Rhinolophus ferrumequinum: one gene and its partner. The protein of the gene in region 2 purifies or fractionates together with the protein of the main gene of each other region. This does not show direct contact. Links are inferred from orthologs where the notes say so. Each region holds a gene or a part of one and is shown on either strand. Other genes may lie near its edges.

The links. Proteins that work in one complex are often made in the same cells at the same time.
Region 1: the proteins of AKT3 (region 2) and CDC37 purify together in Homo sapiens (co-immunoprecipitation; 3 studies listed by BioGRID and IntAct, counting the BioPlex papers as one, with this or other methods). This does not show direct contact. The link is inferred for Rhinolophus ferrumequinum from reciprocal best matches to the Homo sapiens genes AKT3 and CDC37.

What each region holds. Positions count from the first base shown.
Region 1 is NC_046301.1:39,858,475-39,865,635, reverse strand, and holds the start of CDC37 (hsp90 co-chaperone Cdc37), read right to left. Parts: upstream 3,002-7,161; 5' UTR 2,890-3,001; coding exon 2,788-2,889; intron 1-2,787. UniProt on the Homo sapiens protein: Co-chaperone that binds to numerous kinases and promotes their interaction with the Hsp90 complex, resulting in stabilization and promotion of their activity. Inhibits HSP90AA1 ATPase activity.
Region 2 is NC_046310.1:17,132,906-17,140,316, reverse strand, and holds the start of AKT3 (RAC-gamma serine/threonine-protein kinase), read right to left. Parts: upstream 3,001-7,411; 5' UTR 2,779-3,000; intron 1-2,778. UniProt on the Homo sapiens protein: AKT3 is one of 3 closely related serine/threonine-protein kinases (AKT1, AKT2 and AKT3) called the AKT kinase, and which regulate many processes including metabolism, proliferation, cell survival, growth and angiogenesis.

The DNA.
Region 1 (7,161 bases), on a different chromosome or scaffold from region 2:
CATGGCTACTGCCACCAGAATGCTCTGCTAACTCGCTCTGTGCCTTTTACGAGGCTGTATCTCCAAGTTCTAGCACAGGACCAGGCATACAGAGGGTGAGAACTGGGAGACCTGAGCCCCAGAAACTGACACAGTCAATCCTAAGCCACACTTTTCCCCATGTGGATAGGGGTCAAAAAGGCCCTCACCTCTGCAACCTCCCTTTCTCCACAAGGGCCTGTGTGGCCCGGGTGCCTTCCCACCACCTTGAAAGAGGCTCTCTGGGGTCGGCACCATACTTGGCCACAGTTTCTTGTTCTGTTTGGGAAAAAAGTGGGATTTCTGGATCTTAATGGGAATCACCCTCAAGACCCAGGGAAGCATATCACAGGAACCTACCACCCTGCTGGTTGCTGCTGGGTGGCGACCAAGCTCTTCCTGGTGTCCTCTGAGCAGCTGCCAGGGAGGCCAAAGCTAAATAAAGGCCGCCCGGAGTCGGTGGGGGCAGCTGCCTGCCCAGCCTGGGCTTTACACCTCCAGGAGGGACTCTAGCATGCTGGGCAGGGCAGAAGCCACAGGAGTGGGCAGGGCCTGCAGGTGCACTGCCCTCCTGCCTTACAGATAGAGAAACCGATGCCCCTAGAATCTTGAGGCAGCACAGCTTACGGGAAGAAGCCACAAGAAACCAGTGGCGGCTGTCTGAGCAAGGTTGCCGCGGAGCCAGGGAAGACTCACTTGTCCCCTTCTGGAATCTGTGTTTTGTTTTGCTTTTTACTATGAGAGTAAATTACCTACATAACGATGATGACGATGGTGGCTAAAGTTTATGGAGAGCTTATTACATGCCAGGTGCTGTCCCAAAAGTATTATACACATTAAATAAATAAGGCAACCTGCACGACAACCCTACGGAGTGGACACTATGAATATTTCCAGCTGGGGATGTTGAGGCACCAAGAGCTCAAACAACTCACTGGAGGTCACGCAGCAAGTCAAGGGATTCAGAAGCCAGGATCTGAAACCAGGTGGGCAGGCCGAGGCTCAAAAGGCCACCAGGCTACCTTTTCACTAATCGCACCTCCCGTCCTAGGCCCTGAGCCAAATTCTTTTCAGATCTAATCTCATTTCATTTTTGCAATGGTCTTGTGAAGGCAAGGCTGGGATTAGGACCCAAGCTTCCTTGGTGCTGGAGATGCTGAGCCCCGTCAGCAACAGCCTAGAGGCTTTCCGTGGCAAGACAGGAAACGTTTCTGCTTCAGGAGTGGGGAGGAAGGGGGGCAGAGGGCAAGGTGGAAGGCATTTGCCACAGGAGAGGGGGCACCGGTCTCCACAAAGCAGGATAGATTAACCTCTTTATGTGACAGAAATGTGTTCCCAAGAATGGTCTTTAGAACTTTGTGAAGATCTTAAATGCTTCATAATAAATGACAAGAAATAGAAGTGCTAGAACTTTCTTCTTAGACTCCAGTGGCGTGCCGAGCAGGTACACTACCCAAGAGACTGCTGCTCTAAGGAATAGGGTGGAAATGGGACTGGGGATCCGATGTGGAGACTAAATGCCTTGGCAAGATGGGAAACGGCCCTTCTAGGAGTTTCCGGATACATGACTGGGAGTTGCCATACCAGAGGGTAGAAGGTTCTGAGAGGAACACACCCTCAATTTGAGACTATAACAGGCACAGCTATGGGGGTGCAGCAGCCCTGATGTGTGGGAGCAGGAGGTTAGAACATTAAGACTTATGAGAGCCCTTCTGTTGGTCTGTGGACACTGCTGGACAGGGAAAGAGGAGGGAGGACACTGGGGCTCGGGATTCTGGGGTCTGGATTTGGGGACAAATATAAAAACGGGCAGTGAATTTGGAATCAGATTGGGAGAGAGGGTTCCTGGTGAGAGCAGGGACAATTTGGGTGCCTGAGCGCAGCAGACCAGGCTGGGGTCAGGGGCAAGGCAGAGTGGGTTTGGATGAGGTGTTCCAATGCTGGCAGAGGTTCCAACAGGAAGCTGGTCTTGGGGTTTAGGTGGTGCCTGGGTCTGCAATGCCAAATAGGGGCAGGGGGTGTGGCTGGACAGGAAGCCACAACGGTAGGGTTTCCTGGTGTCATGGGAAATGGGGTCTACAGTAGGTAAGGCTAAAGGAGAGCAGCCAGAATTGGAGGCTCCATCAGGGTGGAGCTGGTAGTTGGGTCTGGAGGGGAACTGGGTTCCAAACTCCAGGCCCAGGTGGGACTACGGGCCCTAGTGGTGCATAGGTCTACAGGATAGAGTAGGGGTCCTGGGTGTGGGGTGGCATCCCAGGTTAGGAACAAAAACCCCAGGGGAGGCCACGGTTTCTTGTTCTGTTTGGGAAAAAAGTGGGATTTCTGGATCTTAATGGGAATCACCCTCAAGACCCAGGGAAGCATATCACAGAATAGATTCAAAGTATTGAGGACTCTAGGGACTGGGGAGTGGCCGATGGGATATCCAACATCAGAAATGGGGACCCGGGTCCAGACTCTGAGGCAGAGCTCTGGGTGTAAATGAAAGGTCCCAGACGGGACTAGGGGGCACCCCCAAAGCTTGGCTTGGGAGTCTAGACTCAGGAAGGTGCCTTAAGCGTCAACTGGGAGTTCCATGCAAAAATTCAGGGTCCCGGCAGTTCTGCGGTCCCGGAGTTTAATCGAGGCACCCTAGGCGATATTAAAAGTCCAGACTGTGGGGTGGGAATCCCAAGTGTCAACGGCGGAATCCCTGGCTGTATAAGGGATCGGAACTTTGCAGCGGAGTCCCAGGAGGGTGGGGGAAGGGGCTGGGCGCGCGCGCTCTACCTGGTGCCGCCAGCGGAAGAGGCTGGCCGTATCGATATTGGGGTGCGTCTCGTCTTCATCGTCAGACACTTCAATGTGGTCCCACACGCTGTAGTCCACCATCTTGCCTCTGTGGCCCAGCCCGCTCCGGCTGTGAGGGCGGCGGCGGCAGCAGCGGCGGCAGCGACAGCACGGGAGCCTCAACCTGCGGAGCCCCGCCCCTTCCGCTTCCGCCGGGGGCGCGCAACTCCGCCCACGCGTGACGTCAAATCCCTAGTAACCGCGGCGGCGTCACTGGCGACCGAGTTATTCTTAAAGGCCCCAGCGCGCATATTCGACCCCCGGGAGTCCCGGTCGAGACCTCGCCTCATCCGACGCGGGGTTCCCACTAGGCATCTTCTAGGGGTATACGGGCGGGAGCTCCAACCTCAAGCTCCCCCTCATCTCTCGCTGCCCCTCAGTGGGAGTTTGCGGCGGTCGTGGCGGGGGGTGAAGTTGGCGACACTGAGGGAGAAGATTGTCCCCTCAGCCACGCCGCAGTGACATCAGCCCGAACCCCCTGCAGGGGCAGGGCCTCGGCGACGAGACCCGCCCTCTGCCCCTTGTGAGTTGGGACCTAATTTACACTGGGGAGGGGTGTGTGATCTGAGAGGACCTTCCCTCAGGGGTGCAGGACCCTGCCTTGGGAAGGTCTTAGTGAAAGAGGGATATTATGGCCGTGCCCTTGGGGGGTGGGAGGTGGCGGCGATGTGACCCTGCCTTGGGGGCTGGTATTTTCTATGGGAGTACCACAGCCTCCTTGTGCTGCTCTCATCTGCTACCACTCCAGAGCCAAGATTCGCGCATACGCCCCCTCTGGAATCACCTGGATCCCTCAAATGTGTCTCGGACGCGGGTCCGCGGCGTTTCCCCGTGTGGCCGCTAGGTGTCACTAATGTCTAGCCAGCGGCCAGTGCTCTAGGCCCCGCTCAGAGTCTTGGAGAGCCGAGGTGCGAAAGGGGGCTTTCCTCGTACGTAGTAATACTCCAGGACTGCTCATAGCCCCTTCCCTTTCGTCTGGACGCGCTCAAAGAACTCCATTATTCTGAGTTAGGGCGACACCAGCCGCACGCACACTTTCGTAAATCCCAACCCACACTTTGATACCGGGATAAAAGACTCTGTTGCAGCCTAGGGCCAGGATTATCTCAGATTAAAGGGCACTCCGTGAGGGTCCGGGGGGATGATAGGAGCTTTAGACCCTCAGGTGAGGGGCGCCTCTTCCCAGGCTCTCCAAATCGTTTGTTTGGAGGAAGGGGGCTGGAAGGTCTCCAAATGGGGGGATTCCCCTGCCCGGAGAGGGGATGGGGCCATCCAGAAAAAAGCCCCCTCCTGCTGCCGCCCCTCCACCTCAGGCTCCATTCAAACCAATCAGTGGGCGGGCGGGGGCGGGGGAGTCCCCCTGTCTTTCTCCCCTCCCCCTCCAGCCCCAGCAGTCCAGGATCTCAGAGACCGTCACAGCCCGGGCACGCGCGCGCACGGACCGACACCCCAGCGGGTCTCACAATCGCGCACACACACTTACACAGCAGCAAACAAAGGGTCTGGACACCCTTGTCCCCTCCCGCCCCCCCCTCCAGCCGGAGAGGGCGGGGCATCCCCTCCCCAGCTCCCCTGCAAGGTAAGCTTCGGGCTGCGAGCTGCGGTGGGGAGGGGAACCTGGAGCCCTGGAGGGAGGTGGACAGGATGGAGGGGGTTTCCCCACTCCCCAAGAAAGCCGGCCCTCCACCCCGTAGCCATCTGAGGGCTTCAGGCCTGCCTCCGGACTGCGGGGGATGTGGGGAGGACCCCGGATGCCGGGGATTCCCGGGTAGTCGCAGGAGTCTCTCCCTGGCCTCGAGACTGGAGCTGACTGGCCCCAGTTAAACCGGGTCCCAAGAGCCCCAGCTTCCAGATTTGGGGACAGGGCGCCGGAAGCTCTCCCATCAGCGCCAAACCGTTTCTTATCTCCTGCCAGCACAGTATCTCCAACCCTGGAGATAGAGATCCCGGAGTTGTTTTGCACTGTCCTTTGGTCTCTCTCTCCCCGCCCCCCCCCACCCCGTTAGCGCATCCCATGCTGTCTCTGGTACCTGCGAAGTGGGGGTGGGGGGCTGGGAGTGCTCCTTTGGGCTATCCAAGCTTCCTTTGCTGCATCCGGTAAGCCACACACTTAGCTGCAGTGGGACCCAGTAAATGGCTTTGCCTTCCTGAGCCTCAATTTCCACATCTGCAAAGTGGGTAATGGCACACCGAGGCTTACACGAAGTCATGCATGCGAGCCTGTCCTTGCCTCATCATTTATATCTTAGCTCATTTCACACCTATTTCCCAAGTGCCTACTATGTGCCAGGGCACTGTAGCCAGGCCGTGGTGCCATAGCAACCAAGACCAGCCAGGTCCCTGCTCTTCTGACCTTCCAGACTGGTAAGGGAGCAAGATCAGTATGTAAACAGAGAAATACCCATGGTGATTTCAGGCTGTGCAGACTAAACTCCTATCAGGCACAGAGAGTGTTGGGGTGTGGTGGTGGGCGGGGGAGTGCTGGAGATTAAATAAGATTTACCGTTTGTATCTGTCTGCCTTGTTATTTCAGCTCCATGAGGGCAAGATCAGGTTCAAATCAGTGCCTGGTACACTGTAGGTGCTCAATAAATGTCGAATGAATTAAAAAGGGAATTAGACACAGAGTATTTCCTTAGTATTTTAGATCACAATGGCGGCTTTATCATGAACCAGTCCATCCATCCTCCCATTTTACAAATGAGGTTGAGTGAGTCCCTAAGACCCAGGGATGGGAAAGATGTTGTCGGAGGTGATAAGGTTGATGAGGTGTCATCATTCCCATAAAAGTGAGGATGGCTGAAGGAATGGTTGTGAACAACTGGGAAAGGAAGATAGTAGAGACCAGACTTGGGCACGGTCTCTCCAGGAACCTATGATACCCAGGCAGAAACTACCTCTCCTGTGCCATGCAGATATTCATCCATTCAACAAGTATTCAGTGCCTACTACATGTCAAGGGCTGGGGACATAGCAGTGAACAGAAAAAGGCTCCCTGCCCCCAGGGAGCTGATATTTATTGGGGGGAAGAGAAAAACAACATAAACAAATAAATATGGTAACAAACATTATGCTTAGAGCTGTGAAGGAAACAGACAGCTTGTGACAAGAAAGAAAAAGGAAAGGGTCCATTTCAAGTTGGATATCCAGGAAGACCTCCTGGAGGAGTGGAATTACTCTTCCAAGACACACACACACACACACACACACACACACACACACACACAAATCCAGACAAATGTAATCCTACTCACACTCTACACTGAGAACCTAAATAATATGCCTGAGGCCACACAACTAGGTGAGTGGCTGAGCAGAGATTTGAACCCAAATTTGGCATTTCTAACCACTGTGAAAAGCTGCTTCCTGCTGCCTCCACATGCAAATACTCTCCCCCACACACACTCATGTCACAGTCACACAGAGGTACGTCTAACCTCATGCCCACATAGACTGATGTGGTGTCACCCTGTCACATACAAACACTCCTACAGGTAGAGTCTTGTCTCAACTATATAAACTCAGACTCGTGGAAAGTTCCACCTGTCAGTTGAATATGCACAGCTGTGTACAAAGTCTCATGCACGTGGCCGCCGACAGTTTTCCCAGCCCCACTTCAGTGCCAGGCAAGGAGCTTGTCAGACTTGGATGCTCAGGGCCAAGGTGTAGACTCGGCCTTTATCCTCACTCCTTTCCCTCTTGTTGGCCACCTGTCCCCATATCTTCCTGAGAGAAGTAGGGGGTGGGCAGGATGTCAGGCTGGGAGAAGCCAGCGCCCCTCTGTTAAGCCAGGCCAGGGGCTCCCAGGGTGGGCCTGTGGCTGATTGCACTGACAAGCTAGGTGGGGGAAAAAGCCTCTCTCAGTCTGAGCTTGGTGCCAGCTGCCCAGAGCGGCCTGCTCTGCCATCTGGACCCCTCTCCTCAGACAGCCTGCTGCCCAGGGGAGGGGAAGGCAGGCTTAGAAGCTGATGCCCTGCCTCCTGCGCCCAGGTTTCTCCCAGGATGGATTGCTGCAAATGTGCATGGGTGTGTCCGGACAGTGGTGACATGCATGTCACCTCTCTCCCCTGGCCTGTGGGGCTCCTCTGGCCATCCACTCCTCCATTCCGTCCTTCATTCCATATGTTCTTGAGCACCTATCTTGGGCTATTCCAGGCACTGGGGATGTAGCCAGGACTAGCTACAGAATTTGCACAGTACAGGGCAAGAGGAAAATGCAGGGCTCCTGGTCAAAATTATGAAGAATTTCAAGACGATGATAGCAGCGCATTAAACCTTCTAAACGTAGAGCCCTGTGGGATTGCACAGTTCAGA
Region 2 (7,411 bases):
TATTTTTCTGTCTTGCATGTTGTTATTCAAATTTAAATGGTTTCAATGTTTTTTAATGCTTTAATCTTAATCACAATGTGATTAAAGACAAGATTCTATCAAATCATGTTAAAAATCCAATTAACACATTGTTAACAATAATTACCTTATCTTCCCAAGGGTGAATTCTTGAACTAAAAGGTGTAACAACAAAGAAAGTGTAGCTATCCTTTCACCAAAATATGCAAAGTTTGAAGTAAACTCTAAACTTCCACAAAATCAATTTGGTAAAACAGTTTCCTCTTTTTAAAGAACCCCAAATAGTTGGAAATTTCCACTGAACTTTTGTAAGAAAGAAAAACTTTCACTTGTTTAAAACAAAAGGTAGAGTTTTAAAAAATCTTAGATCCGTACTTTATACAAGACTTTATGCTAAGTACATTTGTCCCATGACATGTTTTGGTTAAACATGTGATCATTTGCAGTCATCTGAAAACAAATTCTCTTTCTCATGGTAGTGATCTTCTGAATGAAATGTAAATAAGAAAAGTTTTTAATCAAACCAGCTCCTAGCACACAGTTCACACTCTGTGACATTTGTTGAATGAATGAAATCTTATTTAAAATATTTTACAGCCATAAACTTACATAAACAAAAAAGTCCAAAGTCGAAGCCTTAAGTACTCCGACACACAAAACTTAAACTAAGTTGATGTCAAACTAAAAGTTCAAGTTGCAAAACAATTCACTAAGGTAATTATGGAAAGCCTAAGTGTACAGGACAAAATGAATACAAAAACGTTTCATAAATTTGGCAGAATTACTTTAGACTATTTCTTTAATACTATAAGCAAACATACTATTGCAAATACACAGCACAAATATACAACAGAAACTAAAACTCTACATTCATCTCAATTCCAGTGTTGTCTCATTCATGTGATATGCGTACTTCCCTCACTTTAAAACTAGAAGCTCAAGCCAATCAAAGATATTGGGGTCAACCCCCGTGAGAAAAACAAAAAGCAGATCTTCAAATATAATCTCTTTGGTAAACTTTCAAAGTCAAGACTATGTACTGCCAAAAGAAAAAATACCTACAGTCCTGATATATATCTTTCAAATAATTGTGCAGTCATATACCTTGGAAACTAGTAATTTATTAATAGATATTTTAATAAAAATATTTTCATGTTTTACACAATTATGTCCTGAACATGTGTGTTTTATTAGTCGACCACCCCCTGAAACATTCATATTAATTTATACGTATTTTGCAATGACACTCAAGTTCTGAAGACAAAGTTTCCTAAACCATCTTTATTGGACTGTTCCACCTTTGGTTTTTTCCAATGATTTCCTAACAATCTATGATCTACTTTAATGAGTTTCCACCAAAAACAAAACCCAGTGGTTGTCTAATGATTTACAGTCTACTACAAGTTCTATAACCACGTTTTACCAAATATGGAACACATATCTAAACCGATGATTTGAGGCAGTTAGCAATGTATTCACTGCAAAAAAGTCATTATTTCGTACCTTTTAGATTTAAGATGAACTTAAAGACTGTGAACATTTAATACTAGAAATTAGTCAATATACATAGATTTCATTGTTGAATTTCTATTTGGAAACGTTATGAATTACAAACTACTGGGCTTTCAACCAATTTACCACACTGGTGAAGTAAGTTGGTTTTATTTTCATCACATTATTTTGAGGTAAGAAATGTGAGCTTTCTAGCCTTGACTTATGGGTAAGCATTTCCTCTGCTTTTCAGAAGATAAACTAAGTATCAGTACTGAAAACCTGGCCCCAATGAGATTCAATCTAGCCTAACGGTCTATTCCCGGGAAATCCCAAACAAGGGGTGACCCCGCCTAGGAGTCAGGGTGAACGCAGCAAACCCGCTAAGCTTCAACTTAGGGCTCTGGAGGGCCCCACCGGCATCATGGCTGATGCAGACCGAGGCACAGGAGGAGGTGGTGGACGGGGAAGAGGCTGGTTTGTTTACTTGCAGCCAGAGCCGCCGCCGACAGCAGCGACAGCATCACTGGATCCGCCAAACCCAGCATCTTCCGCACATTTCTATTCTTAGCACACAAGTCCCAAGCGGATCGAAACCCCACTACTATTAAAAACACAGACAAGCACGTTACCCACCGCCCCAGCGCCGTCCTTCCTGCGCGCCGGCAGTGGGGTGGGTGGGGAGGAAGGAGACCCCGGGGGACGCCGGTGCATCCTCGCCTTCACCCCACCCCGCGCGCACCGGCAGCCCCGGCGCAGGAGCGCGGCAGACAGCCCCCTCCCCCCCACCCAAACACTGCCACCGGCGCTCCACGCGTTATGTAACCTCGCCGCCACCCCCCGGTCCGAGCGGGCGCCCCCTCCCCACGCCGCGCCGCCCGGCGGGGAGGGCCGAGTGGAGGGAATGGAGTTGCGCAGAGACTGAAGGCGCCAGGGCCGGGGCAGCCCAGACGCGGACGGTACCGCTAGGCCGGGGACACCCTCCCGCAGCCCCCCGCGCACCGCCGTCCCCAGCTTCCCCTGGAAAGTGAGGGGGTGCCCGTGTCATCCGCGCCGGGCATCCCCCAGCCTCCCCACCCACACCACAGCCTCCGCTGACCCAGCCCCCGCCCACGCCCCCGGCGCGGTGACAACCCCGACGCCCCCGCCTCCCCCCACCCGGCCGCCGCCCCCCGCCCTAGGGAGGCCGGGAGGGAGGACGATGCCGGGGGCCCGGAGGGGGTGGAGGCAAGGCGGGGAGGGGGCGCGAGTGGGGGCGGCGGCTGTTACCTGCAAAGGCGGCGGCGGCGGCCCCGCAGCTGCTCGGGCGGCGGCGGAGGATGGAGCCGGGGGGGCGGGGGGAGGAGAGGGGGCGACTCGGGGGTCCCCCTCCCTCCTCCTCCCCTCCTGTCCTCCCCCCACCCCGCAGAGCCTCTGGCCCCCTGGAGCCCGGAGCGGCCGGCGGGAGGGCAGGCGAAGGGCTGCAGGGGAGGGAGGGAGGGAGCCGGCCGGGCCGGGCCGCGGAGCTGGAGCGGGAGGCGGCGGCGGCGGCGGCGGCGGCGGCGGGCGGGGGAGGGAGGAGGCGGAGACTCTACTTGGGAATCGGATATCGGCTACAAATTCAATTCATCCCCAGAAAACACCGCTCGGGCGGGGGCCGGGCCACGCCGGCGAGGCGGCGGCGGGAGGCGGGCGGCGGCGCTGGGCCCCGGGACGCGCCCGGCACGGGTCGGGGGGCTGCGGCCTCCTCTCCCGGCCGCGCCTCGCCGGGGGGACCCCGCCGCCGCCTCCCCGCCCCCTCCTTCCTCCCTCCTGGGGCCGCCGCCGCCGCTCGGTTCTCGCTGCCGCCGCCGCCGCCGCCGCGGGGCTTGTTGTTGACTTTGAGGAAAACTCCTGACGTCAGGGGCTGGCTCTCGGCGACTGGCGGGAGCGGCTTCCCCGCGTCCCCGGCCTGCCGCCGCCTCCGCTTTCCTCCCGGCCAGGCCCGGGTCCGCAGGCTTCCCCGCGCCCCCCAAACCCGCGGCGCCCCGCGCCCCCTCTCCTCTCGCGAGAACATCCCCCCAGCCCGCCGGAGCCGGGAGTGGGGGCCGTCATTCCTGGGCGGGAAGAGCTGGGTTTCCCCTCGCCTTCGCGGCGGGCACCCGAGGCCGGGGCGTGGAGGCTCGCTGCCCGGTGAGCAGCCCGCTGCCTTCGGCGCGCGCCGCCAGCCCGGGGGCATCTCCGCCCGCCCCCGCGGTGCCGGAGGTGCGCGGCGGGCACACGGAGCCCTCGCACCAAGAAGTGCGGTGCTCTGTGCGGAGGGAACTCGGCACGCGTGGGTACGCGGGAACGGACCCCACCCATCTGCACCTCAGGTGTCAGTCCAAAACCTAAAGCAATTTCTCTCTGTCCCGAGAATCCAGTCCAAGTACACCTCTCCGGAGAGCCACCCACAGCGCTTCCTGCCAGCAGTCATAACCACACATAGTACCCAGGTTGCAATAGGATCGCAATCCACTCTTAAAATTACTCCTTTTTTAGGGATATTAGTTTTCATTGACTTTGGGGAAGCCATGATGTATTGCATTCGCTACGAAGACGATACCATTTCTCTCTTTGGAAGTTCATGGCTCCTGAGAATATTTGCAATGGAGACACTGTTTTTGCAAAATGGCCATGTTTTACCATACATCACATTCCATAAAGTTTGTTTTTTCTTACAGCATGTTTTGTCACTTCTGAACACTTTGAAAAAAACCATGTTATTTCACCACAGGGCACTATACCTGTTATGTCTCCTAATGCAAGGTTTCTTATTAATGCTGTGGCTTATTTCTGTAGAACAGTTTCTCCTCCTGACAAGCACTTCCTTCTCTGCTTTTCCATGTCCTGACAATATTGATGGTAGTCATTCTTTTGTACTATATCCCTGGTATTTATATAGTGAATTGTATTTATACAACTATGTCTACATCTTCTCTCTTATGAAATGCACATCTATTGGGATTGTGGACAAGAGTATGAAACCTAATAAGGGAAAAAAGGTTTTTTTTTTTTAGTCAATTTTCTCCATTTGTAAGGGTAAGGTTTCCCTGGCCATTCTATACCTTAAAAACTTGTCATTTTAAGATACATAGTTCTCCTGACAGAAAAGTCCTCAATTGCTGCTTTTCTCCTTTTCTCATATTTCCCAGCACATGGTGAACTAAGTAAACTGAAAAATAAAAGACTGTATCCTAATTTTATTCAGTTTATGTGTGTATGAAATATATGTAATTTATTCCCATAATTATCAGACTTCTAACAGTCCCTATTGGCAAAATGATTCGATTACAGTTCTTAATGTAAAACACAAAAATGGGTCAGATTTCTATTCTACAGTGACCCAATCCACTTTTATTTTGAAGAAAATAGTTCCTTACACCACCACCACTATAAAGAGTATCTGGAAAGCTTTTTAAATATTTAACTCAGAGTTACGGTATTCGGAATTATTAGATATCTCGTCGATTGCAATTTTTATTTGTTTCTAACTTTAGCAGCAACATATTTGGAAAAACCAAATTTGTCCTATGAGCCATACTGCCTCAAAATCTTTCTCTTAAGTCTCATCAGATGGTATTAAATCTTAGCTGGATTAAACACTAAAGTTAAGTTTCATATAAACTATCAATGGATTATATACTCTAGGCTTCCTGTACAGTATTTGAAAAATTGTAAACTTTTATTTCTGCTCTACTTTGGTCTTCTATAATAGTTTCATAAATTTCTATAATAAAAGCATGTTAGCTGTTACAGAATTATTTTATTTATTATAAAACTATTATTTATTTAAATAGCATTGTTCTTTCTCAGACTTTGCCATCATGAATTTGGCAGACTCTGTCAATTGTGGTATGATGGGACTCTGAACAGAATGTATGCTAGAAGTCTCTTCTCTTTATTGTTACCACATCCCAATAATATGGGGAGAAGCAGCATGTTCATCCATGGAAATGTCGTTCCTAAATTACAGACAGAAAGCCCTCATTCTTTTTAAGCCAGATATTCTTAAGGCTAACATCTCTCAGGAATAGTAATTTATGCATCTTAAGAAAAATATTCACTCTTCTTGACTACCAATGAGTAAATTAGATACTGAGAGCTATTTCTTAGTACTTCCACCATTTCTTGGGAGTAAGTTCAAGTTGAAGGTACATTTAGAATTTCAGGACATCAGATTATCTAGGGTTGGAAATTTAACAAAAAATTTAACAAAAATTAAGTTACTGCTTCTCTGTCTTATTAAAAAGGGTTTCTTGTCTCCAGTGTCTACAACAGGTACACAAAGTACACATAGAATAAGTGTTTATTGAATGAATGGATGAATGAATGAACGAATACATCCATGCCCCCTATGTGCAGTTTACATAGCACTTTCCTCTTGGGATGGCTTATTGGAAAGATCATGAATGCATTTTGGAGACTTGTTGACCTGAGTTCAAAGCCCCTCTCAACAGAATTTATGTCTCAGTCAAGTTGCTTAACTTTTCTAAGCCTTAATTTCCTCATATGTGAAATGACAGTTCCAACTACTTCAACAGCTTATTAAGAGAATTAAATGTGATGAAATATTAGATAGTATCTAAAACACAGTGAGTGGTCAGCCAGCTAAAATTCGTTTACCATAAATGTGAATATATTCACTGTAACAATAACTGCTACAACAAGTAAGTACTAAATTCTATCCTGGCACACAACTATAGAAGTGTATTTCTCATTCGTGTAAAGTTCTGAATGACAAGCAAGGCTCCTTTAAGCTTTATGCTTCAAGCCCAAGTTTCTTCCACATTAGAGCTCGGACATGTTTATCACATAATCACAACTTCAAGCTGGCAGAAGCGGGAAAAGCATGAAGAATCACTCAAGGAAAGTTTTATGTACATCACTTCCATTCATGTTCCACTAGCGACAACTCTCCCAAGCCACCTAACGACAAGGCAGGCCATGAAGTGGAGTCTAGGCTGGGAAGAAAAAGAAATAGTTCTGATGAACAGCCAGCCAGTCTCTGTGACAGTTGATTTCCGAAACAGCCATGTTAAGCCTACAGCTGTAATTAGTGAATATCCTAGATGATTAATAGAACAATTTCCAAAAGAACATAGTTTATATCCACGTATAAGTAGCACAAAAGTCATTTGCAATAGTAATCAGTACTAACTGTCTTTTTCTCTTTTTCACAAATGTCTTTCTTAAGGCATAGGTCAAATGTCTGTATCAGTAATTCGTGAGAATACCTAAGGAACAGGTGTCGCACTAATCGGATGCCACGTGAAACTGGGATACGTAAAGGCCATCTGGAAACTTCCCTCTTATTTCGTTGTCAGATTTTTTTTCCCTGCTACATTACTAGACATTCACACCGTATTGTCACTCTCTCAGACAGCTACGTCTGTTAGCAATTAAGCAATCTCTAGACATTACATTTAGTATTTCAGGACTCTTGGGTCACAGAAAGTTACTGACTACAATTAAATAACTGCCTGTGGGACACTGAGCTAGAATTCATGTTCTAATTCCAAAGCAACAGCATACATAATTATTATTCCTGGCTGTGTGAGAAAATCAAGGTATGCAAATAAAACTAATACATACATATTGTAATCCCAAAGCCTCATTTTGGGATATAATTTTAACTTCCTGAAGTGGTGTGCATTTCTAGTTGTTTCAGAATCTGTTCTATGGGGACTGGACTTTTCAATACAACAGCCAGCAGTAAAATAATGATAATACATTTCCAACCCTAGATAGTTACCTCAACTCCTTCCTCAGTTGTCTCATGTAATACAGTTCTGTTCCAGAAAGTTTCCGCACCCATTTTGAACATAATTTCTTCTGCTAATGAAAATACTTTCAGAATCAACTGGAAAGTTCTATATCTACACCCGACTTTTTTTTTAACCCA